Linked DNA regions of Lonchura striata. The protein of the gene in region 3 interacts with the protein of the main gene of each other region in a biochemical or structural test. Links are inferred from orthologs where the notes say so. Each region holds a gene or a part of one and is shown on either strand. Other genes may lie near its edges.

Region 1 (8,142 bases), on a different chromosome or scaffold from region 3:
GCAGGGAGCGTAAAAGCTGCTTGTCTCTGGTATCCATCTGGCAACCTAGAGTGTGCGAAAAGGAGTAAGGAAATGTGTGAGGATTAAAATAACTTCAACCTTTAACATCCAGAAGTGATATCTGAACATCCAAAAGTGATGTCTGACACCTGCCAACCTTCAGAGAAAACTCCACACTCAGAATCACCAACCTGGCAAAACTACTAAAGATCTCCATTATCTTCTTTCCATTCAGATTTCACTGTCTCACAAGGTAAAATGATGCAATTTCTGGGAAATACTGGACAGGAATAGAACATTTGGCATTGCAAAGACCAGTCCTCTGCTGGAGTGAAACCCGTGCCAAATAATCCTCCTATTAACTGGTTAAGATCCATACTAAAGGCAGCAAAAGCACTTGCCAGTCCTTAAGAGACACAATCCCCCAAAATTAAAGAGATGTTACACCTGACCACTGCTAGAATTACAAAAGCAGCAGCAGGACAGGTACATTCATCTCAGCCAGGCAGAAGCAACAGCAGCAGCAGGGACAGAATCAGCAGGTAGCTTTGGCCTACATGATGCAGTTCAAGTTTAAGAGGGGTAGAAAAGTATCTTATGTACCACGTCGTTCTCACCCTTGAATCATCCGGGAAGATTGCTCTAGAACTCAACTGCTCTGATGAGAAGAAACTTTCTTTGAATTTCCATCTCAGATTTATCCCTTTCTATTTATAGGCATATCTTCTGCCAAAACTGTTCTTTAGCTTAAATAGCTTTTCTCCCTCTCTTCTTATGTGCTCACAGGAAGGGATCAGATGCCCTCTGCCAGCTTCCATTTCACTTGACTAACACTCTGACTAAACAAAAGCTCAAGATGCATTTTATAGCCACTCTATGAAAGAATAATCAGGGTCCAGAGAGATCAAGCAGCTCATCCAAGATCAAGTCAGCAGTCCATGCCAGACCTTCAAACCAAATCAAAGTGTCTAGTCTAGTTCTTAACAACAAACGTATCCCTGAGCCCATTTAATGGCACTTGAAAATGACAGGACAACACAATTAAATACTTTCTCATTACTAAATAATAAAGTCAAAAAATAGCAGCAGGTGTTGAGTGTGATTACCAAGAGGGTTTCTCACAATTAAATTAGGCACTGCTGTTTGAACCGCTAAACTTTGCAAAAACTCTACTTCATTCAGCTTGAGGGTACAAGAAGAGACAGAATTCTCAAAGCTTTTACATGAAACTTGATGAAGTCTTTTTGCCATCAGAGATGCCTGCTGACTCCCAGAGCCCCATCAAAGACTGTGTGGTTGGCCTGGTTGTTAAAATCAAGGAGGGTGACTAACAGAACATACTGGCATGTAAATGCCACCTTGGACAGAATGCAAGAGCACAGTGTCATGAGAGACACTGGAAAACCCTGTCTGTGATATCCTCTGACAAAGCTACTTTCCAAAAATGCTTCCATCAAGTGCTAAAAGCACTGCTGGAAAGTATCTTCCTGGAGGACTCCATCCTTCCCAGGCTATCCAGTGCATTTCTCACCTACTATAGTGAATTTCTAGTTCTTACCTTCTGTCTAGGGATCATGTGGGAATCAAACACTGTAATGCCTATGCTATGTCCCTAAGAAATGCCAGTTTACCCAGCACAGTTCAAACATCAAACACCATCATGGACTGAGACAGTAGTGCAAGCAAGGAGATGGAAAAAGAGCAGGCAAGAAAGAGAAATGGCTTTTCCCACTGAAGCTGAAGATTCTGGTCTCTAACACATAGTACCTTTACACTGTAGAAAGCAATCTCTGGACTACAGCAAAATTCAGGCAGTAAATCCTACCACTTCTTCTTTCTAGGAGAACACCCTTGAGCTCATGAAGCACTTGCAGAGTTCAAGAAAGGCATCCAGCAGCACCTCTGAGGGTGTCATCTCAACCCAGGCAGAAAACTGTTTCACATACTAAAAAATTTTTGTGTTGCATATTCTGAATGGGCCCTGAGAGTCCCCATTCAGGAGCCTCCTCATATGCTGGATGACTGTACAGAACTTGATGAGTTCCTCTTCTTCACAACCAAAGCAGCCAACATTTTTCAAAAATAAATCTTACAAACCAAAGGTTTGCACCTTTGGGCACTGAGAAATGCCTATCAGCCAGGGATCAGAAGGGGGAATTTCTGCTGCAAAAGCCCTTTGCCTTGCTGACTGCAGAGTGTGTACAACAGAGGGTTTAAAGTCCTTGCATCAGCCTGGTAAACTTCCAGGATGGGGCATACCGGTTTCTGAGGTCTTTTTAAAGATAAAGTATTTGTATGTGTTTACGATGATAAGCAAATGTCTGACTTAGGAACTAAGCAGCTAGATATGGAAATATATCAGGATTTTGATGTGTAACAGTGTTGGGACAGAGTTTAGTGCAACACAGAAGTAACAAATTCATTTAAATCACCGTCTGTATCTACGGATTCAAAGTAAGCTCTGAATTAAATTTAGTCAAGTAATTTTACAGAAAATGAAAACTATGAGATGTCCATTTACGCAAAAGATGACTCAAACATTCCCTAGATACTTCTGAAAATGGATTTTTTTCCATTATAAAGCCAAATTTTAAGAAATATAGCCCATGACCTGCTGAATGAGCAGTCCTTGACTCATCACCACATCAACACAATCAAGTTTGCCTTTTTCTGGATCTGACAGAGTGACTGTACATAAATGGGGATAAAACTTTTTATAAGAACCCCTGCTGACACTAAAAAGGCAAATTCACTTAAGTTTTTCCGCTAGAAACATTTCATTGTTTTCCAGAACACCAACTGCACTCACCTGACTACCCCATGAATTATTCTGGCTACTCACAGCAAGCCTACAGGTCAAAAATCTTACACATCCCCCCCACCCCGCCAGGAAATTTAAAAAAAAAAAAAAAAAAAAAAAGGCAAGTTTTGCTTTTAAAGTCTTCTCTGCCGAGCGCCGGCAGCTGCTGCTCGGGTAGCAGCAGCCAGGGGCCAGCTGCCCGCACCGCGGCCCGAGCCCCGCAGGCAGCAGCAGCGCCCGGCCTTCCTCCCGTCCCGGCCTCCCGCCGGGCAGGGCTGCGCGGAGGCGGCCCCGCCGGCCCGGCCCGGCCTCCCCGCGGAAGCCCGGCCCCCGCCCCGGCCCCGCAGCGCCGGGGGCGCCGCCGAACGGCCCCGCGGCACCGCTCTCCCGCTTCCCCCGGCCCTCCCGCCCCAGGCGCTGCCGAGGGCAGCCGTCGGCAGCGCCCGGGCAAGCGAGCTGCGTGCGGGGAGCGCCCGCCGCCCCGCCCGTACTCACCCGAGGGGAGCGGGAGGCTACCCGGGAGGCGCCGGCGCCCGCGGAGCTTGCGCGGGAAGCACCATCTTTGTTGAAGGCAGCAGGGCGCCGCCGGAAGCCGCCGCCGCCGCCCTGCTGCGGGCCGGCCGAGGAGGGGCGGCCGCTGCCGGCCGGAGCGCGGGAGGGGCCGCGCCCGCCGTGCCAGCCGCGGGGGCCGGGACCGGGACCGGGGCCGAGCGGCCGCAGTGCCAGCCGCGGGGGCCGGGACCGGGACCGGGGCCGGGACCGGGGCCGAGCGGCCGCAGTGCTAGCCGCGGGGGCCGGGACCGGGGCCGGGGCCGGGACCGGGGCCGAGCGGCCGCAGTGCTAGCCGCGGGGGCCGGGACCGGGGCCGGGACCGGGACCGGGGCCGAGCGGCCGCAGTGCTAGCCGCGGGGGCCGGGACCGGGGCCGGGACCGGGGCCGAGCGGCCGCAGTGCCAGCCGCGGGGGCCGGGGCCGGGGCCGAGCGGCCGCAGTGCCAGCCGCGGGGGCCGGGACCGAGCGCTGGAAGGGGCCCGGCGCTGCCGCCGCTGCTCCTTGCCGCGGCCGGGGCCGGGGCGGGGACGGGAGGTGACTCCGCCAAGGAGGTGCCTTTCCAGGAATTCGGAGGACCTGCTGCGCTATCAGGAGTCAGGGTGGTGGTGGGGGTGTTTAGTGAGGAGAGGGGTTGTATCCAAAATTAAATTCGGAATTACGAAATTGCAGTTTTAATGATATTAGAAACAGCTGATCTCATTACTCCCTAGGTACACTGGTTGCTATCTGTGAGTATGCGCTAAGCTGAACTTCATCCTGGTGCTGGCATCGTCGTATCAAACACAGAGCAGTATTATATCGAATAATGGACACATTTAGCTTCATTACTTTCATCTGAACAGCTTAAAAATGAAGAATCTTTTAATAGATGAAAATAATTTATTAAATTAAGAGCTGGCCTGTGTCTACCACAATGCTATGGACATTCTGTTGTTTTATTCCTCTACTAGTGAATAGTGTATTATTCACTTATTTTTATATGGATACCTGGAAACGAAATATGGTAGAGAGGAGAAGAGTGTGATTCACAGAGCTGTAAAAATGAGGTGGTGTCACTTTCACTCACACATCATGAAATAACTTTTTTCCGTCTTTGCATAGGTGTCAGGTGTCACACGGGATTGATGGTGTCAGCCCTTTTTCTTTCATGTCGGGACCGCAATAGTGATGAAAGGGGAAAAAAAAGATCTTCCAGTGCTGGAACGTACTACCTTTGAAGCTGCAGGCAGGCACAGCAAGCTGGCTGTGGTCTGCACAGCGTGCTAATACCTACCCTCTGGAAAAGCAGGAAAAGTGGTTGCTGCAGCTGCTGCTAGAAACGTCGTCACCTTGTGAACCCCATTTGTACACTCTGTTTAGACTAATTGTACAAATTTAAGGGTATTTGAAATATTTAAGGGTAGTTGGAAGCTAGTTGTGGAAACCTTTACATGCCTTTCCTAGATACTGTACCCAGGAAACTGTACTGTACTGTACTTGCCATGGAAAAATGTAACCAAGAGTAGAGTTCACATTCTGCCTATGCTTAACATTATATTTATCTACAAGATTTTGCATAAAGATAGGCAGTCACACTCAGGAATCTTAATTCCTTTTCCTTTGATTTTCCTGTGGCTGACAGTTGAAAATTTATGTGGACACAGAATGTAAATCAGCCTTAAAGGCAAAGTTTGTATGCTGGTTTTAAGAAATGTTTTAAAAATATAGATACATATATCATGTGGCCAGCTTCTGCAGGGATGCTACTTATTTGGCAGTTTTAAAGCAGTGTTTTGGTTTCATGACATAACACTTTTATCTATAATTATATATAAGTAATAAATTGGATACAGGGGGTTAAATTGCTTGTGAATAATTGATAAATAATATCTTCTTACAATACAGCTGGTAAACCAAGGTAAATATTTTTTTTGTCTCAGGCACATGTTAGTCTTCTAGGAATGAAGATATAAAAAAATCTAAATACTCCTCTGGGTTGTTTCAGAGCAATGCATTAACATATTTGACAACACTGGAAGCCACACAAGTAAGTCATCATCATCAGTAACTCCAAGAAGTATGCTGCTGTTGTAGCCAAAGTACAACTGAGGTGGTGTTAAATTTTCTTGCCACAACGTTTGTAATACTAGTTGTGAGGAGATACGTTTGCAAACAGTACAGCACAGCTCCAGGGAGCAGAGACACCACAAACTGCCTGTATGATTGTTCCTCAACAGAGCACTGCATAGCTACTGAGAGTTTCCTGTCCCAGCTTCTTGTACTTCTGATTGTCAGTGCTGCTGGTTTTCTCTCTCTTCCTTCCTTTCTTCCTTTTTCTTCCTTTCTTTCCTTTCTTTTCTTTACTTCCTTTTCTTTCTTTCTGTCATGATCTAAGGGTCTGTATTATATCTGGAATTGGAGTGACCAAACTTGGAGGCTTCAGAAAATCTCATCATTGCAATCCTGACAGCTGCTTTTAATTGCAGATAATGTGGCTGCATTTTAAAATAGAAAATTAGGACAAGCAGTTACATCACTTTATTTACTATATCCTTTTGCCAGATGAGGCAATTTGATTTTTTAAATTTATACTATCCAAGAATGTCTTAGAAAGTTAGCAAAACATATGGATATGCATAGAGCGACTCCAGATTTCATTCAAGGAAATTACAGCAGTTATACAGTCAGCATTTAGTCATGTATTTGCTTGCAGTCTGAACAAAGATAGAAAGAAGGAAAGCAGTGAAAGGAAAGAGATAAGCCTAGGAAGGAAGAGGACAGCACCAGAGGTCCAAATCTCATTAAGGGAAAATCTGGCCCTTCCTTTTCCCCCCACTAGTTAATAACTAGTGCTGCAAATTTATTTAGTGGAAACTAAATATGCTACTGTGTTTTGGGTTCATCTTTAGCAACACAGACAGCTTTTGATTATATAGTACAGGTACAGGATAAAGACACAAAGAGTTAATACTTTAAATCCAAGGAGAGAAGTCCTTAAATTCTTTGTTTCAGTCCATTTTGGGTTCAACCCTCACTAAAGGTCTTCCACTTCTGGTCCAAGTTCAACAAAACTTCAGAGACATGGTTTGGTTCTACTTCAGTTTTAAGGACAAATAAATACATATATATATATTTTAGCCAGTTTGGTGTCAATTCAATGCCCCACTAACTGCTCAAATCTCAAAGCTAACCATGTAGATTAAAGAACTATTTCCTAGAATACAATGATCAATGGACTATAGTCAATCTTCCGCATCAGTATCCTCAGACTTTTAGTCTTAAAAGCTTGTGCTGTCTGGTTCTGCAGATTGAGGGGCCATCGGTGCTCATCAGGCCACACTTTTAAGGACTGCTGAATTCAGGGTCACAAGTCCAAATCTTTGGGAGCCAAGCTAAGCAGTATCTCTTCTGGCAATGCTATTCATTTTACATGTAAGTTAAGCCAGATTTTTACATTTATTATGCACCTTTTAAAAGCTCACTTAAAAGTCACAAACCTTTTTAGAAACTGTACCAGAATAATGAGATTTTTTAAATGCTTTTGAGAGGATCCTTTATGCTAATTAGAGTCAAGCTGTATCTAAGCATGTGTGTAATTTGTTTTCTACAGACTAGTTTGTTTTATGCTGATAACGAGGCCAAATGTGTTCTTAAAACTGGCACAAGCAGATTTAATGTATTAGGATTGTGCTGTTTTCAATTGTTTGCAGGACAGCATTCCAGCTTTAGGGACAAGAGAAAAAATAGGAGCCTCTAGATTTGTTTATTAAAAGCACATCTAATTGGTTAAATCTCTCACAAAACCTCAGAAATTAAGGGAAAAGAGAAATACATCTTGTATGCTTGCCTGTCAGTTTTATGAAAGAGTGCAGTGAACATTTCTGTAAGTCATGCATCTCAAAAACAGTGTTAAAATGTAAGTTAGGGTGAGCCAAACTAGGTGGCCTGAAGGCCAGATGAGGGTCTTGCAAACCATTGCTGTCCACTGCTATCCCAGGCAGTAACCCCTTCCCTTCCCCCCTCTTCTCTTCCTCCTTCCCCTGGTCCCCATTGCACTCCCCTTTGCAGCCGTGGGCCTCTGTAATGCTAACATCCAAATCTCCTGTGCCAGTCACTGAAAACCTGGCTGATGCCAAGGAAGGGAAGGGTTTGGTATAGAAAGTTTCCCCAAACTGTAGACCAAATCTTAGGCATGCTGTGCTGGATGCTGGCAGGATATGAGGGCACTAGATGCTCAGATGGGAAGGGGTGCTCTTGAGAAGCTCTTCAGGTGGCTTTTGCTACTCGAAAAATGATTCCTTATCCTTCCTAAAAAAAGATGACAGGCAGGACTGAAGCACATCACTGAAAGGGATTGGCCCTTGGGCTGCTGTGCAATTGTTCTGATACTCTGTAACTTTCATTCATTTAAATAATAAAGACTTTAAATTCAATGCAGATCAAAGAGAGGAATTACTATAAAATATAGGTGACACGTCATGAACTTCCTTGAAAGTAGTATTTTATTAAAAGGCACGTCCAGCACGTGGGTAAAATATAACACAGAAAGTTCTAAAGCATCTTAAAACATAGGGTTTAAACTGACTCTGTAGTGTCTATACATTTACATTTGTTTCCATAATAAAAATAAGTATTTATTAGCAGTACTGCAATGAATTCTTAGTGCTTTTTACTATGATACAAATAATCTCTAGCAAAAAGTTTAATGATAAATAATTATAAAAAGGAAGCAGGCATCCACTGCAAAACTTTTGTATACATTTCATTTAAAAAATCCAGTGAATTAAAAAAAAAAAGTGTAATTAATACTTG
Region 2 (8,124 bases), about 44 Mb from region 3:
CTGCCATCTCAACTTCTGAGCAGAAATGTGAGGCTTGATCTGCGTCATCACTCACATTTAGAGACTCACTTATCAAGTGGGATGCCAACTGAGCCCTTGAGACATGAGCAAATGTCTATACTTATCACCAACAGCCCTTTTTCCACAAGCTCTTGCCACATGATGTCATAGCACTGGTTGCATCTCTAATGCCTGGTGCACCCATACAGTGAATAAAATTTTAATATATGCAGAAGCTGAACAACAAATTGTGAGGCAAAGATCTCTGAGACATAGCCCTTGTTTTAAGCAACATTTTCACACCTCAGTGTAAATTTGGATATAGTTTTCCTCCTTTTAATGTTAACATTTAGGGTGAAATACACTAGGTGCTTTAGTTAATACTAACACTTAGGCCATCACAAAGCAGGTGGCATCAGGAGTAGAAAAAAGACACTGGGAACGGGAAAGGGCAGAATTGGTTCTTTTGGCAGTTCTGTTGCCTTGTGACATCTTTATAGATTCACTGACCATACCCCAAAAATGTTACCTGTAAATGGTAATTTAATGAAAGAAATTATATGATGATATGATATGATATGATATGATATGATATGATATGATGATGTGGTGTGATATGATATGATTGATATGATGATATGATTGATATGATATGATATGATACGATATATATGATAATCTGGAGGCAACAGAGGATGAAATTGATGTTTTGTTCAGTATGTTCCTTCTAGTTGAAGTGTATAGGCATTTCTTCCCTGTATTGGAAGATTCTTGACATATTTTTCTATTTTCTAATAATTTACAAATTTTTTTCCTTGGTATACCACTTCAGATTATTAATATAAATTCAACATTTCATCTCCCAGCTACATACAAAAAGTTATTAATTCATGAAATACTTCAGTCAGAAATATATTTATCTGAAGGGCTGTTATGTCAGCACAAACAAAAACAAAACAAAAAAAAAATGGAAAGGCTAATTCAGTGTAATTCTCTACATAATTTTAACCAACTTCTTTCTTCACTAGCAAATGTTCCTGGTGATGTAATTAATTTGTTTCTTCTATGTCAATCATGTATCTACTACACATTAAAGTTAAAATTAGTTCTACTCTCATGCATTTCATTTTACGTCAGTGAATACCACTGTTGTTCCACAGCTGTTTTTGTGATTGTGGTTTGCCTTCTAAACAATCTAAACTATTCCTGGAATGTGCAGGGTAACCAGTGATAACAGTAATGTCAAGAGAAACTTTAACCACGGGAGATGTTTATACTTTATTACTGCAGAGATTGTTTTGAGATCTATTCTGTAAGAGCAAAGAACTTTACATTACCCTGTAATGAGTGAATCAGAAGCTCAGGAATATTACTCTGTGGAAAACAGTGAAGGGTATGTCCGTAGTGTGTTCTCCTCACTTTCCAAACACCTCTAGTGCTCGTGTGCCCATGACCTATGGGGAAAAGTGGACAGAAGTTGGAAATACAGGAGTTTTCTGGAAGTAACCGATACATGGGTTGTGTTTTAGCTGGGTCATATTAAAGGAAAATTTAGTTTTTTGTTGGAATTAACAGCAGTGCTACATGTAGCTGAAAGAAATGTTAAAGATCAATATTCTGGTAGTAAAAGGTACCAAAGTCAGAACCATGTGCCCCTGGCTTTTATAGAGACCTATTGCATTAAAGGCATTCAGATATTTTTTTGAAATTTCTATTTCACCAGAATTGTACTCATAGCACTTGATCATTCCCGGTCCTGCACCTGATGGTGGTGGATGTCCTTCCATGCAGGTGTTCAAGGCCAGGTTTTGAACAACCTGGTCTAGCAGAATGTGACCAGGAGCTAGATGATCTTTGAGATTCCTTCCAATCCAGGCCATTCTGTGATTACTCCCTGGTGTAGACCATGGTTTAGGATGTTATTGTTAAAACCTGTCAGATATCTAAGAAAATTACCTTTAGGAAGTGCTGATTCCTGGTAACTCCTAGTATGAGAGTTGAAAGCTAACCATGAGATGCTTGTGTGGCAGAGGCTCAATGGGATTTTTGTCACTGGTCATCCAGAGAGACTGGATTCCCCTCTGGCCAAGAATGTGTGACTAATTCTGGCTGCTCAGTTATGAAAAATGTTGATTGCATTACATTGTCAGTACTTAATAACAACACAGGTAAAACACACCAAGGTGAGCTTCTCTTTCCATTTACTTCACACAGGACATAATAAAGATATCAAAAGTAGTATACTATTAACATCAAGGCAGTGGTTACAATGTTTGTTTTTCTCTCTGTTACCTAGCAACAGATCTTGTTTGTATTTTAAGGTTATTAGTAAGCTTATTATGTGCATTTTAACTGAAAATTTAGGAAAGACATTATGTCTGCTTATAAGCAAAAATTGAAAAAAAGAAAATCTATCTGCTACCATTACAAAAACCTGCTGGCATATTTAGCATGTATTTCAGGATATTCTTTGGATTTCTATTCAGATAAACAAGTTTTCTTACCCAGAATCTTCTACATTAGAGCATCAGAATACTAGTACAAGGGTAATTTGGGCATAAAAAAAACTATTTCTCTCCTCAAATGAAGCACCACAAACTTCAAGTCATACCTCACTGTAACCAACAATCAGAATTAAGCAGCTGCCCACCCACTAATGTACCACTGTTCCAAATAACCTATGGTTTTGGAGAGGCAGAACAGTCATTAGCAGGAGTTTCTATATCCTAGAAGAAAGAAATTTGCAGTACTGAGCATTCAAAATGCAGCACTTGCTCCTGCTAGAAGTGCTCTTAGTCTGCTGCATCCATTTACTGTTCTGTAAGAGAAAGAGCTGCCTCTCCCTCCCCTCTCTCTGTTACCAGACTATTGAAGACTTTAAACCACCACCCTGTACTCAGCTCTGACATTTACTAGCAGACAGAACATTCACTAAACCAAACTACAGATAGCTTTTCTGAAAAAAAAAAAAAATGTAGCAAAAAACTGGCAGCATTGATATACATTTTACATCTTGATAAATGACCAAACACACAATGAAGAGCAACTGGCATGTTTTAAACCCACTTGGAAGGGGCAATTTCCAGTAGTTTTACATTAAATCTCCTATCAGTATATATATCAGCATATACATGTGAACTTGGAATATAGACATTGCCAAGTTTTGACTAAGAAATAAAACTAGACAAGAATCTTTCCTTTGCTCCAAGCCTCCATTTCAAGAAGGAAAGATTTCAATTTACTGCTATTTGGTCAATATATATTCCCCTCTAAGTAATGATTAGTCCAGAAATAAAGACTCACTGACTGGGCTCACAAACTATATTTAAAACAAAGTTCTGAACATTCTGAAATACAAGAGTCACCCTGTAATTTCAGAGCAGTTGTAATATCTTATCCCACTCTAACAGGCTGCCAGAAATGCTCCTGGATAAGGCCCATCACCATTTGTTCTAAAGATATCAACTTTTTGGCTGGCTCTGTCAGGTAACTGAGGACATTTGAACTTTGATTCATTATCAGATATACTTCTTACATTTCAGCTTTGAAGGCAAAAATTTTGGATATGTATTTAATCTGTAAAATTTTACAAAAAAGTTCTCAATATTGAATGCAATAAACTGCTGTGTCTTATCCATAACAAAAAAGATAAATATGAAAACATTTCCCATAAATATCCACATAACTTTGTATGAAGGATTTGAGCATTTTTTCTCCAATATGCAATTTAGCTGAGTGAGTCATAATATGTTTTCCATGTAAAGAGAATGAAATTCCATATTGTGTTACTGGTTGCCCTGGAATTAACTGCAGAGACCGAGGATAGGAAGTATATCCCTAAACATTGATACAAAATACAACCAAAGCTCCAAAGAAAATGATTTTGGATATTGCAGTATATTGCAACTGATCTTCTTATTCTGCCTTTTTAATTAATGGAATTAAATGGAACGAGGAAAAGAAACTTTTCAGAATATCCAAATAAAGGTTTTTTTTTTGTTGTTGTTTATTTGTTTTTAGAGTTGTACAATCTGTTTGGATTACTAAAACTTTCCTGAAGATACATGAGGCTGTGAGATGGAATCCAGAACTGTTTTTAAGTTATCACTTTGAACTTACATATGTCAATACCTTTTTTCCCATTTTGTTAGGAATGACTGTCTGTATTAGCATGTGATCATAGTGCAAACTGGTGTTTCTTGGTCAGCATGCCAGTCAGAACGCAGTCAAAATGGAGAGCGTACAGATGTCATCATTGTCCCTGGACAAAGGCTTTATGACTTTTTTTATACCGCAGCTAAGGCTAGAAGACATGGCTTAATTTTAAAGTGCTACTACCGGCGTTAATAAAACAATTATCAATGTTCTTGATGAGACCCATGTTCCAGAGCGTGTGTCTCCTGTTAACATGTGCCGGTTTATACCACGCACCTTTGCATGCATGTACTGCATTTCCCAGGGTGAGACTGCAGGTGGGCAAACAGCAGCCAGCGCCCAGAGCTGTCCCAGACGGAATGGATGCAATGACTTCTGTCCGTGCCCGCCCCGCAGAGCAGGAGCCGTGACACCGAGCACACGTAGGCCGGGGCAGGGCGGCGCTCGCTGACGTGCGGGCAGCCCCGCCTCCCTCCGCGCTCCCGCAGCTTCCAGAAGGGCCGGAGCCGCGGGGGGGCCGCGCCGGTGGCGCAGTCGGAATTGCTGCGGCCGCGGGGCCCGGCCGGGGCGGGGCGGGCGGTGATGCCCTTGTTTATTTTTACTCGGGCGGTTCATCCTCCTCGGCAGCCCCAGCGCGGCCCCCGCCGCCGCTCCCCGCCCCGGCTGCGACGGCGGCGCCGCCTATAAAGCGCCGCCCGCGGGGAGCCGAGGATGCAGCTCTACAGCTCCGTGATCACCCACTACCCGGCGGCCGCCACCGCAGCAGCCGCCGCGGCCTCGCCGAGCTCCGCCGCCGTCTTCAAGGTCTCCTTGTCGCCGGGACCCTCCGCCGCGGAGGCACCGAGCGCCGCCGACGCCGCGGGCCCGAACGCGGTCGCTGAGAGCTCCGGCAAGGAGAGCTTCGTTCCCGCGGGGGGCAGCAGCAGCGCCGCCGCCATGCCCGCCTTCTCGTCCTGCCTGGAGGTGATGCCGAGCGGCCCCGCGGCGGGGCCGGCCGGGCGGCCGGCGGGCGGCCCGCAGTTCAGCTCCTGCGCGCAGGTCACCGTCAGCCGCCGGCGGCCGCTGGAGCGGATCGTGCCCATCCGCATCGTGCAGCGCGCCGAGGCCGCCGCGGAGCTGGTGCCGGGCTCGCCGCGCAGCCGCGCCTGGCTGGAGGGCATCCTGGAGAGCGTGCGGCAGGCCGGGGGCGACGGCGAGGCGGCGGAGGAGCCCAGCAACCGCAGCCTGCGGCTCAGCGAGCACTGCCAGGCGCTGCAGGCGGCGGCCGCCGGCGCCCAGCCCGGGCTGGTTCCCGGCTGCGGCCCCGCGGAGCGGAGCGGCGGCCCCGCGCACGCCGAGCAGGAGGAGGCGGCGGGGCCCGACGTGCGGCGGGCGCCCGGCGGCAGAGCGGAGCGCAGCGAGAAGCTGGCGCTGTACCTGGCCGAGGTGGAGAAGCAGGACAAGTACCTGCGGCAGAAGGGCCGGTTCCGCTTCCACATCATCCCCGACGGGAACTGCCTGTACCGCGCCGTCTGCAAGGCGGTGTACGGGGACCAGCGGCTGCACGGCGAGCTCCGCGAGCAGACCGTGCACTACATCGCCGACCACCTGGACCACTTCAACCCCATCATCGAGGGCGACGTGGGAGAGTTCCTCATCGCCGCCGCGCAGGACGGGGCCTGGGCCGGCTACCCGGAGCTGCTGGCCATGGGGCAGATGCTGAACGTGAACATCCACCTGACCACGGGCGGCCGGCCCGAGAGCCCCACCGTTTCCACCATGGTTCACTACCTGGGGCCCGAGGACCCGACGCGGCCCAGTATCTGGCTGAGCTGGCTTAGCAATGGGCACTACGATGCTGTGCTGGACCGCGTGTGCCCCAACCCAGAGTACGAGGCGTGGTGCAGACAGACTCAGGTACAGCGCAGGCGGGACGAGGAGCTGGCCAAGTCCATGGCGGTGTCCTTGTCCAAGATGTACATTGAGCAGAATGCCTGCTCATGAGACCGCCTGGGCCGGGAGCTTCGCTGCAGGGACTGACAGAGAGGTGTGCTCGCTGTGATGGTGATGCCTTAATCCTTAATGAAGCAGCAGCACCCCAGACGGACAAAGACTGTAGGTTGCGGGGGGATAAATACAGACGTAGTTGTAATATTCTGTTGTAAAAACTTAGCCTCGGGTTATTTGCAAGCAGATTTCTCCGTGTATGTTTGTGTCTCCCCTCCCCACTGTCTGTTTTCTATGAGAATGTATTTTTTGCACACTATTTTTAAACTGTTACCTCCATCTTCTACATCTTGCATTAGTATCTGGCTTTCAGCTGTACAGCCAAAAACGTTTGTAAACAGTTTTTGTAAATAAGGCTTATGATGTAACAGCTATTTTTTGCTGTGTTTTTTACCCATAAACTTTATATTTTTACCAAATGAAGTTGATGTCAAACTGACCCCCCTAGTTGATGAAAATGTGTTTTTAAAAGTGCGGCAAAATGAGAACAGACTGCTTTTAGGAACAATTGCTTTCTCTGCCTGGAGCACAGAATAGGTCCTTTGAGCCAGTTGGAATGCAGCTACACGTGAACAGTGCAGGGAGCAATTGACTCTTCTGTTTTTAATTACTGTTTTGAGTAGACTGGCCTCTTGTTGCCTGGTTGGCTCACTCTCTGCTCCACTTACATTATTTATCTATAATAACAGAACATTAACTTGCAATAGAATGTTGTGACTAGATAATAGTCTCCTGCTTTGGCAGTAATTGCCGTGGCTGCACCTCAGTGTTTGTGTTCTTGTTTCTGGGGCTATGGTGTCTTTCGTATAAGCCCTGCTTCTTTTTTGGCACTGGTGTTTCACCAACAAGTCATTATCTGATCACAACATTTTATTCACGTGACTTTATTTTCTAATCAAGAAATCAGGAATGGTATTCTACATTATGGTTTAAAAGAAAAAAAATACTTAAATTGAGGTTTGTATGGTTTGCTGGGTCAAACATTTAAATGTCTCCAATCTGGATTCTGTCTCTTCTACTTTCTGATTAACTTGTTAGATATATTTATTAAGTAATGCAGTTTGTACTTTTTTATTTTGTAATATATTGTGATTTCGGAATTTATACTGTATTTGTATAATAGGAATATTCACAGCTAAAATGGAATGAATAAAGAATATAATTTTACTTGTGCTCTTCTTTTCTGCCCTGTGCATTCCTGGTGTGGGGAAGAATTGCGGGTGGGTTCACAGGATCTTTTATAGCTTCTCTGCCTTAGTCTCTCCTACTGAGAGGTGGGAAGAAGGGGTGTGGTACTTTACAGATGTAAACCACTGATAATTCTGGTGTCTGTTAATATGTGAAAGAAATGCAGGCATTTAAAGACAATTAAATATCTAATTATTTTCTTACTGCAAGAGATCTTAGTATATGTGTTTGCTAGTGAGAAACCATTTCCTATATTAATATGCCTTAGAAGGGGAATTCTCAGGCATAGTTTGTGAGCTCGTGGTGCCAGGGTTGGTGGTGAGCCAGCTCTGCTGGCCTGTGCACACGTGGGCTTGGACATTGGTCTTTGGGAACCTCCATTCTGCAGTTAGCCCCAAACTTGCTCGAGGTTTGTCCTGTCAGTAGTGATACCTTGGCACCCTCTTGTTACTCAAACACAGTAATGTTACAGGGAGGTACAGCTTTCTACTCCCCTTGCAAGATGGAAATGCCTTCCAGGTTGTTTAAACATGTTTAGAAAAGTGCACGTGTGTTTACAAATCAGTCCCTGATCTCAAAATGGTAAAACGTCTTCATCCTTAAACAACAGAAGGGTACTAAAGTTATGATTAAAAAGTAACTAAATAGCTGAAATGCATCAGTCTTAGTTGAGCACCTGTGATAGATCTGCGGGACTGATGTATATAATTATTACTGGTTTATGTGGTACAAAGAGTAGATTTAAATATTATGTTATTTTCAAAGCATTGGTAAATAGAATATTTTTATTTAATA
Region 3 (7,699 bases):
TGTTAATTACCTGTTGCTTCCAATCAAGCTACATGCAGTCACTATGACCAAAAGTCTTGGAAATTCAAAAGAAATAATAACTTAAAATTGTAATGTCTGTTGAAGTGAGCTGTGTAACATTCAAGAAGAGGGAAGTTTTTTTATTAGATGGGAGGGAACCTTCCCCCTTGCGCATGGAAAAATGCTACTGCTTTTTTTTGGTGTTCTTATTAAGTAATGAGGTACTCTGAATAGAAGCTCTCTATCTAATTACTTATTTCAAACCCAGTGTTTTGGGGAACTTTTCAAAGAATGAGTATCACAGGAAAACAATGTCTAGCCAGGCTTTAAAGCAAAGACTACTTATTCTATTTAACATGAGATATTGGCTTATGATAGCTTGAAATGTCAAATTATAAAAAAACAAGGATGGAAGCTCAAAGACTCAGGGTCACCCCAACCTTCTTTGAAATACAGGGTAATTGATACGTATTCTCAATACTAAGGACACACCAATTAATGCATTATGTATCTGTGGTTAAGATAATAAAAATTTTGTAGTTTAATTTAGCCAGCCCTTACAAAAGGTATGCATACTTCTAGTGGTTAATTTATGTTCTGTGAAGTAGCTGTCATCTGTATACTTGATTAATTTTAAAGCAGTTCTTCCTGTATACTATTTGAACATTTGTATTCGGTTGGGTTCATATTTACCAAGTACCAACATGTGTTATGAAAATTTTGAATACCATTTGCTAGAAGAGAGGAAGTTATGTCCAACAATATGACTGGTGTTCTTCAGAAGAGGATAGAACTGTGCTAAATGGGTTTGTGGCATTTTTCTTTTTAACACCATGGTTATGTCCTCTCCTCTAATGCCTAAAGGGCATATAAATTCACAAGAATCATAACCTGGACATTAGGTCATCATGTCATATTCCTAATCACTGTTCAAAAGTGCTTTGCTCAGTTTTAACTGCATCTGATCTGATGCAAATTCTAATCTGTAATGATGTGACCTGCCTGCCTGGTTAAGGAGGAGCACTGAGCACATTAGCACAGTAATATGAAAAAACATGGAACCTTTGTAGTTTAATGATGCTTCCAGCACCTAAGTTTCTAAGAGGTGTTAAACTTTAATTGGAGAAAATTAGCACCTTTACAAGCAGCAAAACTCAGCGGCCACTGAGTTATTAGTCAGTAATGGAACGGAATAAAGAACAGAAGCCAAAGTTGGTATTCCCAAATGACCAACAGGAGACAAATAGAAGGGTTGCTATAGCTGATAACAAAAATATTGCCTCTGTCAATGATGTTTCAAAACAGGGTATCTCAGATCTGTTGCTGTAAATGTCATAACCCACTCCATCTAAACCTTTCCCTTCTGCTCAGATTTTTCAGCTGATGCATCTTTTCACTAAGGAATGATTTCCCCCCCACTTTTTTTTCCTCTTGGAAATAGCAAAGACAATACCTGTGTCAGATCGTCAACAAGTTACACAGGAACCCGTGGGAAAGGGAGGAGAAGCCAATACAAGGGAAACAAAGGTGTTATGCAACACAAATTTTCACAGGAGCAGAGGCAGCGTGGGAAGAGGAAAGGATGGGATCTGTGCAGTAGCCAGTACCCGTGCAAAGGTGTTGCAGTCGGTTCTGGACACAAAAGTGTGCATTCCATATGGGGATCGGGAAAGGCTGTCTCGGCTGCGGCGCCGGGCCGTAGCTGTCGGAGACGGGCGCCGCGGGCGCTGCCACTCGCGCGGCCAAAAGCGCCTGCTGGGCGGCAGCCGGGACGCGCTAACGCGGGGCTGCTCTGGCCTAGTTCCTCGTCGGCCCATCTGCCTTATCGCCCTTCTCCTCCCGCCGGCTTCCTGCCGCCGCGGCCGCCTCCTCTCTACGTACCGCGCCCTCGCCCAGCGCTTCCCGCTCGCCGTGCCCAGGAGCCCCTCCGCAGCGCTGCGGGATGGGACGGGGCGCTAACACCGCCGCCGGCCATCTCACCTCGGAACGTCACCCCCCTTCGCACCCTCGCTCGCGGGGTCGCCACCGTGGTTTCGGTTTCGGTGCAGCAGCGCGGCCTCGTCCAGCTGCCCCCTCTCCGGAGTTCCTGCCTTACCGTGCTCTGGCCTCTGAGAGTCCTGCCGCTTCTCCGGGGGCCGCTGGCAATGGGGCTCGCCCCCAGCGCCCCTTAAATTATGCCTCGGTCCCGGAGCAGGATGACGCGGAGCGAAGGAGGCGGCTCGGAAGGCTCGAAGCGGCGCGGGTGCCGCCCAGTGACTCCTTAAAGTGCCCGAGCTCTCTGCGACCGGCGCCACACGGCGGCTCTATCGCTGCCTCGCCTCTCTGGGCACTACCATACTTGCCTAGAAGTGACTGTGTCGCTTCCTCAGCTCTGTGGGCACCCTGATCGGTGCCGCCAGAAAAATCTCTCACTGCCTGAGATCTCTGGGCGCTACGATCCACGAGCCACACCTTGGCTTTGTCCCTGCCTGAGCTCGCTGAGCAATGCGGTCGGTGCCACACGATGGTTCTATCGCTGCCTCAGCTCTCTGGGCACTCCGAGCCGTGCTACACCGTGACTCTGTCGCTGCTCCGGCCCTCCGGGCACTACGATCGGTGTCTGCAGAGAATCTTTCAGTGCCTGAGCTCTGAGCACTGCGATCGGTGCCACAAGAGAATGTGTCACGGCCTGAGCTCTCTATGTATTACGATCATTGCCACGCCGTGACTGTCACCTGTCGAGCTCTCCGGTAAGTACGATCGCTGCAACACCCTGCCTCTGTCACCTGCCGAGCTGTCTGGGCACTGCCATCTGTGCCACACGGTACCTCTGTCGTCTGTCGACCTGTCTGTGCACAGTGATCGGTGGCACACGATGACTGTGGCACTAGCTCGAGCTCTCTGTGCAAACTGATCGGTGGCATAGCCTGACTCCGTCAGCCACCGTGTGTCTGTGTCGCTGCTCGAACTCTCTGGGCAGTGCGATCGGTGCCACAACGTGACTTTGTCCCTGCCTGAGCTCTCTGGACACTGCGCTGCCCCCGCTCCGCGCTCCTGCCTTACCGTGCTCTGGCCTCTGAGAGTCCTGCCGCTTCTCCGGGGGCCGCTGGCAATGGGGTTCGCCCCAGCGCCCCTTCAATTATGCCTCGGTCCCGGAGGAGGCGGAGCGAAGGAGGCGGCTCGGAAGGCTCGAAGCGGCGCGGGTGCCGCCCACTGACTGCATTAAGCGCTTTAGTGCTCTAGGAAATGCGAGCGGTGCCGCCACAGAATCTGTTCCTGCCCGGGCTCTCTGGGCACTGCAATTGGTGGCGCACAGGCTCTATCCCTGCCTCAGCTCTGTGAGGACACTATATTTTTCCCAAGAAGTGACTTCGTGGATTCCTGAGCTGTCTGAGCACACCAGTTGCTCCTACCCTGTGGCCCTGTCACTGCCTCAACCTTCAGGGCACTATAAACAGCGTCGCATCTTGACTCTGCCGCTGCTCCATCTCTTTGGGAGCTGCGATGGGTGCCACACCATAACTCTTGTCACCTGTTGAGCTATCTGGGCAGCCCAATCGGTGCCACACCATGGCTCTCTCACTGTCTGAGCTTTCTGAGCATTGCGATCACTGCTGCATGGTGACTGTCATTGCTCGAGATGCTTGGGCACTCCAATCCGTGCCACACAGTGGCTCTATTACCTGTTGAGCTCTCTGGGCACTCTGATCCGTGCTACACCGTGATTCTGTCACTGCTCCAGCCCTCCGGGCACTGCGATCAGTGCTGGCAGAGAATCTGTCCCTGCCTAAGCTTTCTGGGCACTGCAGTCGGTGCCACACAATGGTTCTGCCACTGCCTCAGCTCTATGGGCACTACGATAATTGCCAAGTGACTTTGTTGCTTCTACAGCTCTCTGGGGACTACGATCAGTGTCACATCTTGATACTGCTGCTGCTCCATCTCTTTGGGGATTGCAATAGGTGCCACACCGTAACTCTGTCACCTGTTGATCTATCTGGGCGATCCCGTCAATGCCACAATATGACTCTGTCACTGCCTTAGCTCTGGGCACTCTGATCTGTGCTATGTCTTGACTCTGGCACTGCTCCAGTCTTCCAGGAACTACAATCAGTGCCAGCAGAGAATATGTCCCTGTCTGAGCTCTCTGAAAATTGTGATCGGTGTCACACGGTGGCTCCATCATTGCCTCAGCTCTCTGGGCACTATGATAATTGCCAACAAGTGACTTTGTCTCTTCCTCAGCTCTCTAGGCACCCTGATTGGTGCCGCAAGAGAATCTGTCACTGCCCGAGATCTCTGTGCGCTATGATCCATGCCACATCATGTCTTTGTCACTGCCTGAGATCTCTGGGCGCTATGATAATTCCCAAGAATCAACTTTGTAGATTCCTGTGCTCCCTAGACACTTCAATCACTGCCACAATGTAGCCCTGTTTCTGCTTCACCTCTCTGGGCACTAGGGTTGATGCCACACATTGATGCTGGTCCATCTGTTTGGGGGCTGTGATCAGTGCCACACAGTAACTCTGTCACCTGCCAAGCTATCTGGGCAGTCCGATCAGTGCCACACCATGATCCTGTCACTGCCTGAGCTCTCTGGGCATTATGAGCCTTGAAAACCTGCTGATGCTATTGATTCTGAGAGCAGGGTGGGACTTCAAGGCGTTGGAAATACCTTTGTCTATGGAATATTTAGTGCTGGATATGTGGGCATTTTTTTGTGTTCAGGAAGGCCCGAGGCAGGAGTTTGTTTGTCAACAGAGTTACTAACACAGATGACAGCCCTAGGGACAGTTGCAGGAATACGTAACCAAAAGAGTCACTGTAAATCATGTAGTTCAGCCTCTTCTGGATGTCAGGTATGTAGTTAATACAGCTTCTTTACAGAAGGGCCTTCCCACTGCCATTCCTCTTTGAAAAGTTTGGTGATAACGAGTGTCTAATGTCTTTACCATGATCTTTCCCACTCTCGAGAACTGTTGCATTCCCTATGATACTTTCAAGTGGTAGTGACAGAAGAGCAGCAGCATATCAACGTGGTAGGGCAGCATCAGCCCACAACTATGTTTTAAATTTTTTCCTTTGATGGTCAGCAATGCAATATAGGAGCTCCTAAACCATCCATCTACCCTTATCTGCTCTTCCAGGGATGGCACTGTCTGCTTTGTGCCTTGTGTTGGCCCACACAAGGCTGCTGGGAGCAGGGGCTCCTCCCTTCTGGCTTTCTGGAAGGTGTCGCATGGGAAAGACAGGTGGGACACGGAACGATGCGGGCGACCCTGGGTTTGGAGAGATAGCACAGCCTTGGTGATCACTTTCAAGGAGAACTTTTCTCTCTGATTATGAAACTGCCCTATGATGGGCAAACTGAATAAACAACTTCTTTCTAGGATTTTGCAAAAAGAAAAAAAAGAAAAACGGAAGTTGACAGTGGAATGAGAAGAATTGATGCAGGACCAGCACATTCCTGTTTTCCACCCATGCTGGATTAGCTGGTATTCAGACAAAACTGGAGTTTAATGCTCCGACAGCTCCTGATGTAAGGGCTGATCACACTTACTGTAAAGAGGAGACTCAGGACCAAATGCTGACTTGTCACACTGAGCTCACTGTAGTTTAAATGCTGCAATTTTATGTCCATCCACACTGTGAGGTATCACAAGGAGAGCTTTATTGAACCTGCAGTCCAGAGAGTCTGGGACATTTGTCAGGTAAATAAAGCAAATGCAAATATAGACATGAAATATGTTATAATTGGCCACCATCTCTGGTGGGCCAATTATTCAGTTTTTGTCTTCTGCAAGCCCAAGCATCACAGAAAACTTTGGATTACATTTGACTTCTAAGGGTTTTTTTTCCCCTTTTTATGGTCAGTTGGTTTGTCTGGTTTGCTTTTTCTGCTGTTTAGCTTTGCATTGGGTATGGGGCCAAAGGTGTGGTCTAAAGATGGGAAGAGAGATAGCTGAATTTATTAGAATTGCTTGGTTAAAAACTTGTCAGTCTCATTCAGTGGTGATTTGCCAACAATCACTATGCAAAGAAAGAGGTTTATTTGTCATTTATTTGTATGTGCTTGGAGGTTGGTGTTGCCAGTTTTGACATTAATTCATTAAATGAATAGGGAAAATAAACTGATCCAGAAATGCAAACTGAATTTACAGAGAAATGTCTTAATTCTGATAGAGGAGAAGGAAAGATTCTCTTGAAATGGACAAAATGATTGGTACATTTTTAGTGCTTTTCTCAATAATGAATTTATCTGAGCAGAAGTCTTCAATTTTAGTATTAATGAGAATTTAATAAGCCCATTAGTTTTCTTTCAACTTTAACTGAACTTGCATTAATCTCAACATTCACATACTTTGTACTACAAATCTCAACCAACTTACTAAACTTAGTGCTACCATGTGTGGGAGCTGGCATGTGTCTGCCAGATAGTGTCAAGCACAGTATCCTCAACATACAGGTCAGTCTGACATTCTTCATCTAATAGTTAACCCCACTAAGCTCTGCAATTGATCCCAAGCAGTAAGATTGGTTTGACATTGCAACTTCTGCTTTTACCTCAATTTCCTTCTTTCCTGAATAGTCTGCTAATTGAACACAGTGAATAGAAGGATGATTTCTCTTCTATGCAATTTTAAAATTTGTGCTCAGATTTCTTTCAGTAACTTTAAGTTGTTCTCCTTAAGTCTTTAAGGCATGAATCTGCTTTCTCCACAACTTAGATGTGTAGTACTTTCTTCCTTATTCCTTTTCACTTTCCTTTTCCTATAACAAAGCTGTTGAGACAAAGCAAATTTTCTGCTTCTGCAACCTAAAGACTCTGGCTCACGTACCTCACAGCAGACATCTGCAACAGCTTGGGGCAGCTCTGCTTCCTGGGAAATGTCTCTGTTGAATGTGGCCCTTTGCTTCATATGGGAGCAAACAGGAAGACTGACCTTTTCCTGTGGTGGCATTTCCCAGCCTGGTGTATCAGTTTACACAGAGCCTCCAGAGCTTGGGTTCAGCATGTTTATTATCCAATTAGTCCCTAAGGAACTGTAAGGCTGGGGTGTGATAAGACTGCCACAAAGCAGGTATGGCAGATGCATAGAGGCTTAGTTGTCTTTGACAGGGACTCAGGGAATGGGTTCTTACAGTGGCCACAGTCTTTTAATATCAAAGTGCAAAGGCAGCTGTTAGGTGAGCTGGTCAAAGCAAGAAATTCAGTAGCTAAGTGAGAAACCCACCCCCTTGCCATATGCACAAACAGGGTTAACAACTCTAAAGCACAAAAATAACACTGCTACATTTCCAGGTAAAAATCCTGGATATTAAGAGCCAGACAATTCATTTATCCCATAGATCCTGACCCATATACAGACAGTGCATCTGCAGGCTTTCGGGTTAGTGCTCTGCCTCACTATCTGCTGGTGCTGGAGATCTCCAAGGAAGCTGATTGATGCTGATGCTGGAGGGGAAGCAAACACCCTCCAGACCCAAACACCAACACTGACTGGTGTGAGAGGGCAGGCTACAGACAGGATTCCTTTTTCTCTCTACTTTGGAAAGATGCATACTTTACAAAAGGGAGCTGTAGTCTACAAAGGAAGGTAAATTAATGCACATATCACTACATACATATTTATTTTTTTCTTTTTCTGGCATCTGTCATAGCTTTAATATTGCTATATAGATAGGATCTGGAGAAGCCTAGATTTAATCTAGAGAA
Region 4 (8,189 bases), on a different chromosome or scaffold from region 3:
ATGTTAGTGCCCTTCTATCACTGTGCTATCATTTGTGCAGTGACTGAGAAGGCACTTTCAGGGTGGGATGCTTGATGAAGTTTTGCCTAAAACAAGTATAGAGTGGATGCAGCCTTTCATAAATAACTTTTTTTTTTAAAGCTCATATTCACTAACTTTTCTGCATTATTCAGATACAGACACTGATCAGCTTATCCCACTAATTTGCTGATATAATTTACTGTGATATTGAAGAGGATTTATGCATAACTAAGGAAATTGCATCATCATTCAAAAAAAGCAATTAAATAAAAATAAGGATAAGAGAAGACAAGATTGAAGGAAGGGAAAATTATCCTGGAAACTTAACTAATTGATAATTGTACACTGTAATCCCATATGCACTTGCTAAATTTCAGGACATTTCAAGCTCTTGTTTTGATAACATGCCAAAAAAAAAAAAAAGCAGTTAAAGACCATTTCAGATTCTACAGCTCATACATTCTGAGTAGTGATGGTCAGTAGAGTACAGAAAAAGCACAAATAATTGCAGGCTGTGCTAGTATCAGTCTCATACTTACAGTGGCCAGATATGGTAGATGAGGAATTTGTCACTCGAGGACAGGCTTAGGTTACTTTTCTTGAGGCTCTTTTTATTTTGTAAGTGGTAGAGCTATGGCTCAGAAGTGCTTATGCTGGTGTGTGGGGGTGCAGTGCCACTATTACTCAGTGGTAAGTCAACAGAGCATTTCCATTTGGCTCAAAACCCCCTATATATTTCCACAGTAGGACATGTAATGTTTGCTGCTCTGCATCCCTTTCTTCAGTAACTCTGGCCTCATGGGGTATAGCAGGAAAAACAAAAAAAGAAACCCATAACATCTCAAACTTGCTACACTCAAAGAAATCCTTACTTGAGGACACTAACTTTGTGGCTAGTTAGAGCCAAACGTACAGACCACATCCCTCAAAACCCCTGTCCACTACAGTAAGAACAAAAATAACAACAATAACCTGTTTTTACAGGGAGAGACTCTCCATGCTGTCCACAAACATTCTTGCTTTGTTTAAAAGCAAAGCAAAGTTTGTGTCAAGACAAATAAAAGTATGCATGCTTAAAATATTTAGAGTACAACTAGTCATATTAAGAGAATCCGCCACTGTGATTATGAATCTAAGGACAAGTATCAAGTCATATATATGTGTATCAATCTCTGGACATCAAGTACAGGGATACAAGAAACAACCAAAAATTGTTTATGCCACTATTAGGACGTTTTCTCATGGAGACTGGAGTCACGGAGAGAGGAAGAAGCCTGACAAGACTGACCAGGAAGGCATTCCCACGTCTATGGAGGCAGAAGACCCCTCTTGCACAGAAGGGCTTCAGGACCTCCTTCCCCACAGGTAAACAACTGCTCTCTCCTCTTCACCCAGACACCTCCATTGGCAACATCCACCTCCAAATGCCCAGCCAAAGCTTTTGAAAAGACCCTCTCAGGGTGAGAGGGGACCTCAAACTCCAGGTGCCAAGAGCTGAGCTCTATAACCTCTCTGAGAACCAGCTGCTGGAGAGATACAGGATAACACGACAAGCTCTAGAGGCAGATGAAACAGGTGATGCTACAAAGCCCAACTTTAGGGTGATGTCATTCACATGCCCTACGAACACTAGGGACCGTGTGCAGAGCTGTCACATCTTGCAACATATGGAAAAGCTTTTCTTTAGGGAATAAAGATGGCATATTCTTATCATTCCCCCATCAGCACACAGCCTTAAAATGAAAATTGTGTATTTTCTCATCCACTTTCCTCATAAATATAGTTTTACACATGCTATTTATGTAATCCTGTATTTAAATGTATGAATGTGTCTAAAAAGGAAATATAAACAACTCCTTACTAAACTGTGTAATAACCCAGCTCTACTTTGCTCTGAGACGACTAAAATATTGAATTCCTTACTTATGTTAGTAGAAATATTGAGTCAATGGGATTTTTTTTACACTAATAAAGACTAATCACATGACTAAGCACTACCGGCATCACCTCTTGAAATGGTTATTTCCAGCATTAAGTAACAAAAAACACTGAGTTTACAGAAGCAGTCACTGAAACTACATTATTCGATACTATGTTCTACTAGCATTTTTTCCCCTCCACACGTGGAAATTACTGCCTGTGCTATTTACAGTAATAAATGTGAACAAAGGCAAAAGCCAAGCAACACTTATTTTCAAAATCAATGTGATGAAACAAACAGAATTCAACTGACATCTAAGCTGGAGATTTAAAAGTAAAAAACTAACCTACAGTTTTATTAGTTTATAGTCTACTGTGCTTTGCTGTGTGCTATGCTACTTTAACCTTCTCACAAGTAATGACTAGGAATTCCCAGAAAGGAACAGCTGTAAACAATAATTAGAGACAGCATCCTTTCCAAAGGTGTAATGCTGAGGATGCTGGGCTCTGGAAAGAGGAATACTGTTCTGAGATCTGCCGATGGTTTCATAAATTATTTTCATTTTCTGTCCTCTATCTGAAAAACGGCAAGTAATAAACTTCTCCATAAAGTGCTACAAGTGCCTGTGCCTTTGCTCGGCACAAACCAAAACACAGTACTACTCTTTGCCAAATCGGAAGGCGAGGAGCGAGGCTCTTTTAAAGATCCCACAGCACTGGTTTACACGCAGTAAGTGTTCCGCGTTCTTGGTTCCCTGACCTACAACTCCGCTGGGGGCTGGGCGTGCAAGGCGGCACGGCCACGACACGGTGCAGCTCCCAGGAGAAGGAGCCCGGAGCTCCGGGGCGGATTTCCCCGCGGCACCGCAGCACGCTCGGCCGCGCCGTGCCCGCTCTGCGCGCCGGGCCGGGCACGGCGGGCACAGCGTCCCCGCCCGCGCCGGACCCGCCTGGTCCCCGAGGCGCCCTCCTGCAGAAGCGCTCCGGGCTCCGCCGTGCCCTGCCCAGAGCGGCGCTCACCTCTCCGCGGACGGCTCCTCCTCCGGCCGATCCTGCCGCGACTCCTCTCAGCAGCGAGGCTGAGGCGGTGGGACGCAGCCGCGCCCGGAATCCATCAATCCCCACCGCGCCGGAGCTCCTTCTTGCCCTTCTCTCCACCCTCTTCCCGCCGGAGCTGCTGCTGCCGCTGCCGCCGCTGCGGAATGAAGGGCTGAGCCCAGCCTCTTGTTTTTTTCCCTTTCTGTTTAAGCGCCTGGGTGAAAAAAAAAAAAAAAAAAAGGCAAGCAGATTGAAAACACAACACAAAAAACCCCCACCGGGGATTTCCACCGGCAGAGCACAGGGACTTTCCGGCCTGTGACAACACCCGCGGCCGCCGCCGCCAGGGGGCGCCGCCGCCGGGCAGTCCCGGCGCCTCCCCGCCCGCCGTGACTCACCCCCGGGATTTTCGGGAGCCGGGATGCCGTGTCTTCCTTCCTTTTTCCTTTCCTCCCGGGCAGGGGCTTGCCCATCCCGTCCCGCAGGCTTCGCTCCGCTCACGGGCCGGCCCGGTGTCGCGTCGCTGGGTCCGAACAGCTCCTTGTCGCCGCGCAGAGCGGCGCCCCGGCGGTGCCCCGCAGCCCTTCCGCTCACGGGCACGCGTGGCAGCGCCTGCCCCAGCACGGACGGAGCTGTGGGGTGCGGGTGCTCGGGTGTAGCTGCCCGCATCCCTGCCCCAGCATTCCAGCAGCACGTTAAGGGGGCCCGTCCCATGGAAAGTATTGTTCTTCCAGACGGTTTTCAGACCCAAGCAATTTTTTTTTTGTGGGTGTTTTTTTTTTTTTTTTAGCTTGTATGTGCTCCACCGTTTTGGCTCTGTATTGTACGTAACCACAAGTGACTTCATTTCTTCAATTAGAGGTTAGGCCGATATAGAACCCCATAGTCCCAATCTGCTGGTATTTTCGGCAGGAGATGTTAATTGTGTTTTAATTTGGCCCTGCTCAAGGTCAGATTGTTGCAGGTAAAGACCAGAACCGTGGGCTAAAACTATCAAGTTGGGGAGATCTTAAGTGTCTGAATATGATTGTAATTTCTTGACTGCAACTAGTAATTTATAGGAATCATTAAAATTAATTATTGTAAACAATGCACACCTTTAAACAATGTGCTAATATTGTGAAATATTAGCAGTGAAAAAACCTCACTAAACAAACCCCCCATATTTAAGGCCTGTTAATATGATTTATGGATGGGATGTATGCTGGAAAAGGGGCAGTTTCTAGCTCAACAGCCTTACAATCTGAAGGCACACAGAAATGAAATACAGTTTCTTGCAGGATTAAAACACTTCATCTTCCCAGATAATGAGCTCTTGCCTGTTCCTGAGTATCCACCTCTCCCAGTGGCAAGATGAGAAGCCAGGGTTGCTGCACACCTTGAAATCAGGTGTTAAATATAGACTCCTCAGAGAACAGGTGGATTTTGGAAGAGTTCAGCTTTGAACTCCTTCACCTCACTCCCAGTAGCAGCAGCTGGCTCAGATCATTTGCTCATGTCACACAACAGGCTTATGTGGCAACATGATCTTTCCCAGGGTTTACAGGCCTGTGCTGGCTCTGCACAGCAGCCCATCCTTCTCCTCTGCCTTTGTTCAAAAAGAAGTCAGGGATATGGCCAGGAAAAGAATAATCCCTTCCAGGTTTCTTTTCCTCCTCTCCTCGGATAATTTTCTTTTAAAGGTTTTTGTGGGTGTGTTATTTTTTCTTTTTGTTCCCCTAGCCTCTCTATTGTCTTGGAAAGTATAGTTGGGTAGGAAGGCTCCACATTTAATGATTGATAACCTGAAGGGTGGCTAAAATCCAGGGAACTGGATGCCTGAGGGAACTGGGCTTGCATAACTAGGGCAGCATCCCTGCTGTGATTTATACAGTATATATTTCTGTCAGCATCTTACCGGTTCCCTTCTCCTGGACATTTTCCCCTGCTCTCTCATTGGGACTGAGGTAGCAGATTACTGAAGTCATCTGATTAGAGGAAAAAAAAAATGTTTCTATCAAAACATTTCTCTCACATAATATGAAGCCCAGCCCCCGACAGAGTTTTACAGAGAGTACTTCAAATGATGGAGGGCTTCACTGTTGAGTAGGAATGATGAGCTAAGGTAGGGAGTAGGGAAAAAAGAGCTGAGTTGTACCCTGCTTTGTATAGGAAGCTGCAGCAAATAAATTAACAAGTAGACCTAGCCATGATGGAGATGCTGAGACTCAGGAAAACCTGAAAAGGCAACAGCTTATTTTTGGTTTCTAAATGGTAAGCGTGTCTGAATATTAATAATTACTGTTTACACCTTGATAAACTCAAAGTTGATTGCACATTGCTAGAGCAGATGTTTATCAAACAGGTCTGAGCAGGATGGCAGGAATTCATTTGATCTGAGTTTGCACAGCACAAAATAAAGTTCTGTCTTGTCAACCATAACTCCTCAGCAATATAGGAATACATTAGAAACATCAGCAACATCAGTAGTTATAGAATGCATGAATATACATTCCTCTTTTCTGAATGACTCCTGGGTTTTGTTTTTTTTGTAGCTGTACCCTATAGTTTATCTCATAATTTATAGTAAAATGTTTATCTTTCATTAGATATAAACATAGAGACAGATGTATAAAGTCAAGGAAAATTTTCTTCTTTAAAGTGCGTATGTAAATACGCACATATACATACACATAACTATGTACATATGCACATATATTTTTAGGTATATATGCATGTCTGTTTCTCTTGAGGGAAGAGGGAAGTTCTTGGTATTAAGGACAGAATAAGAAATACTTTCATTTTCAGCTATCTACATTCTGGTTAAGCATAAGGGTGAAACAGTCCACCCTTGTAAGTGGTAATGTTTACATAACCCTGGAGAAAGCTGTCACTGGGAATTGCAGAATATCCATTTTTTGTGAAAATTTAAGTAATCAGTTTCATGCACATAAATCAATAACAATTCTTTATTGTACTTGGGAAAAAAAAGAAATCTCTCAAGGCCCCATTCAGCTCTATATCTCTAAATTATTTTAATTACTTTGCTTCTTTTTACTGTTCAGGAAGGAGTAGTTCCCACTCACTAAATTAAACCAAGACCTCAGAGTGTTCAGAACACCATTGCCAAATGTTTGAGAGGCTGCACTAAGAAAGACTCATAGTTAAGATAGTACTCATATAATATTCAATGCTAGGATGATGACTATAGTAATATTTATGCATAGTGACATACAGACTTTTAATAATTCAATCATTTGCTGTGTCTTTTAATATCAGATAATTCTGTATGAGGTGTGATTCATCTAGAAGGGAGGAAAAGGATCATTAAAGGGAAATCCCTTTTAATGCAAGAGCAGTGCTTGAGGTCATGCTTGAGTTCAGCACTTCTGTCTTCCAGGAGCTGTTCCGTTGCTTCTTTTCCTGGTGGAAAAGTGATAAGAGCTTGTCAGTGCAAAGGAAAGAGAGGGGGGAATATCCCCTAAACATTTATCAGACAGAAAGATGGTGCTTATTACTGAATCAAGTATTGACGGTAAAAAAAACAAACAAACAGAACCAAAAAACCCCAAATCATGTCTGCCACTTAGATAGCAAGAGCTGAACTGGTTTTGGGATTTTTTCCATTACACTCATCTGAATCCAGTAAAAGAAACTACAGATTCCAGAGAAGAGGTTTACCAGGGTATTCTGGCAAGTGACTGTACTGGAACTAGGGATTCTTATTTATGGCCCAGGGGGCCAAAGCTTCCTTTGCTTTTTTTTTTTTTTTTTCCCTTTTTGTTGTGTGTGTGCTTATTTTCCCCTTCTTTTTAATATTTGTGAGAGAAGTGTCAGAAGTAAAGGTCTGGAACTGCAGTGGGTTCAAAGAAGCTGAAAGTTCAAATCTTGCCTTAGCCCCTTTTGTTAACCTGAAGGTTAAGCTGTAAGCGTGGTATTCCCCCATTAAGGCTGGTGAAGCACTGTGAAAAATGAGCTATGGAGGCAAGCACTAGACATTTTTAAGAACAGGTTTTTTTACCTGTAAGGGGATTAAGTATGGCATTAACCACACCGTATACTTACCTCCTGGTCTGTAAATAAGTTTCAGCAATGTTGTCTGTGAAGTGCATAAAAAAGTTTAAGCGATTATGATCTTTGTAACTTGTTTTTTATTCCTCTGATATCTGTAGATACTGCAGCAACTCTCAGGGCCCCTAAAAACTGCAGACATAGCTATGTATAGTTGCATTAGAGACAGCAGCACAGTCCAGCGTTACTGACCCTCTTCAGTGCACAGTACAGACAATTCCAACAAGGCGCCAGCAAGAAATAAGAGGAAGACCAATATTATTTCTGTTTTGGAGAGCAAAGTGATTTCAGTAGATTTTGATGCAGACTCAGACTAGACATGTGGCTAAACTGAATATGTACAGCAGTAGTAAGCCAAATCAAAGGTCCATTGACCTCACTGCCTTGTTTCTCACAGAGGTTGAGAAACTGTCCAGGAAAGAGCATGGAAATAGGCTGGATTGTTCCCAATACTTTTCCATCCTGTGCTTTGTCACAGTTTCTTGTGGGATTTCTTGTGGCTTACATTCTGGTACCTCAGTTTCTGAGTGGTATGGTAAGTTTGTGAATGTTTCTTTTCTCACACTTTTCTGTTATCATGCATATTTAACTTTGACTACAGACTCTTTAGAATAGATTGTTTATTTGTGTTGTGTTTCCTGTACTTTAACACCTAGACACATGGTTATTTACCATGCAGTGTGGTCTCTGCTTCCAGAGAGTCACCATCCATGTGTAGCAGACTTCATTTAACTGTGAACTACTACTGTCACAATAGTCTTTGATTTAGGTTGAGGGTTGTAAGCATAAAGCACTGCATAGATAGCACTGCACAGGGATGTCTTTGCTTTCCAAAACTGCCTTAATGCATAGTGCAGTGGCTGGGTTTAGGTAGTACAAGCCCAATCATTGCAGCTTTTAACTTGATCTTTAGGTTGGCATGACTGGTGTGCTGCCAAAATGTCAGCCCACATCATGGGAGGGGACTCTAAAGCAGAGTCTGCTTCTGGAGCTGTTTGCTTCAGCCATCACTTCAGCATTCATGAGTCAGCAAGTGGTTAACAAATAAATAGCTAAAGATAATGCCTCATGTGAAATCAAGCAGGGACTACTGTTATTTTCCTTTCTATATTCCTATCTGATGAGATGATCAGCTATTCTAACTTTAGGTATGAAGTAAG

What was found.
Region 1: the proteins of RIPK1 (region 3) and CRADD form a complex in vitro, tested with the Homo sapiens proteins (2 studies listed by BioGRID). The link is inferred for Lonchura striata from reciprocal best matches to the Homo sapiens genes RIPK1 and CRADD.
Region 2: of the proteins of RIPK1 (region 3) and OTUD1, one has a biochemical effect on the other in vitro, tested with the Homo sapiens proteins (2 studies listed by BioGRID). The link is inferred for Lonchura striata from reciprocal best matches to the Homo sapiens genes RIPK1 and OTUD1.
Region 4: of the proteins of RIPK1 (region 3) and TNFAIP3, one has a biochemical effect on the other in vitro, tested with the Homo sapiens proteins (2 studies listed by BioGRID). The link is inferred for Lonchura striata from reciprocal best matches to the Homo sapiens genes RIPK1 and TNFAIP3.

What each region holds. Positions count from the first base shown.
Region 1 is NC_134607.1:53,676,275-53,684,416, reverse strand, and holds the start of CRADD (death domain-containing protein CRADD), read right to left. Parts: upstream 3,433-8,142; 5' UTR 3,296-3,432; intron 2,892-3,295; exon of another isoform or gene 2,810-2,891; intron 46-2,809; 5' UTR 38-45; coding exon 1-37. UniProt on the Homo sapiens protein: Adapter protein that associates with PIDD1 and the caspase CASP2 to form the PIDDosome, a complex that activates CASP2 and triggers apoptosis.
Region 2 is NC_134603.1:139,206,662-139,214,785, forward strand, and holds the start of OTUD1 (OTU domain-containing protein 1), read left to right. Parts: upstream 1-4,855; 5' UTR 4,856-4,866; coding exon 4,867-6,138; 3' UTR 6,139-8,124. UniProt on the Homo sapiens protein: Deubiquitinating enzyme that specifically hydrolyzes 'Lys-63'-linked polyubiquitin to monoubiquitin.
Region 3 is NC_134603.1:94,905,641-94,913,339, forward strand, and holds the start of RIPK1 (receptor-interacting serine/threonine-protein kinase 1), read right to left. Parts: upstream 3,124-7,699; 5' UTR 3,043-3,123; intron 2,255-3,042; exon of another isoform or gene 1-2,254. UniProt on the Homo sapiens protein: Serine-threonine kinase which is a key regulator of TNF-mediated apoptosis, necroptosis and inflammatory pathways.
Region 4 is NC_134605.1:51,071,996-51,080,184, reverse strand, and holds the start of TNFAIP3 (tumor necrosis factor alpha-induced protein 3), read right to left. Parts: upstream 3,317-8,189; 5' UTR 2,962-3,316; intron 1-2,961. UniProt on the Homo sapiens protein: Ubiquitin-editing enzyme that contains both ubiquitin ligase and deubiquitinase activities.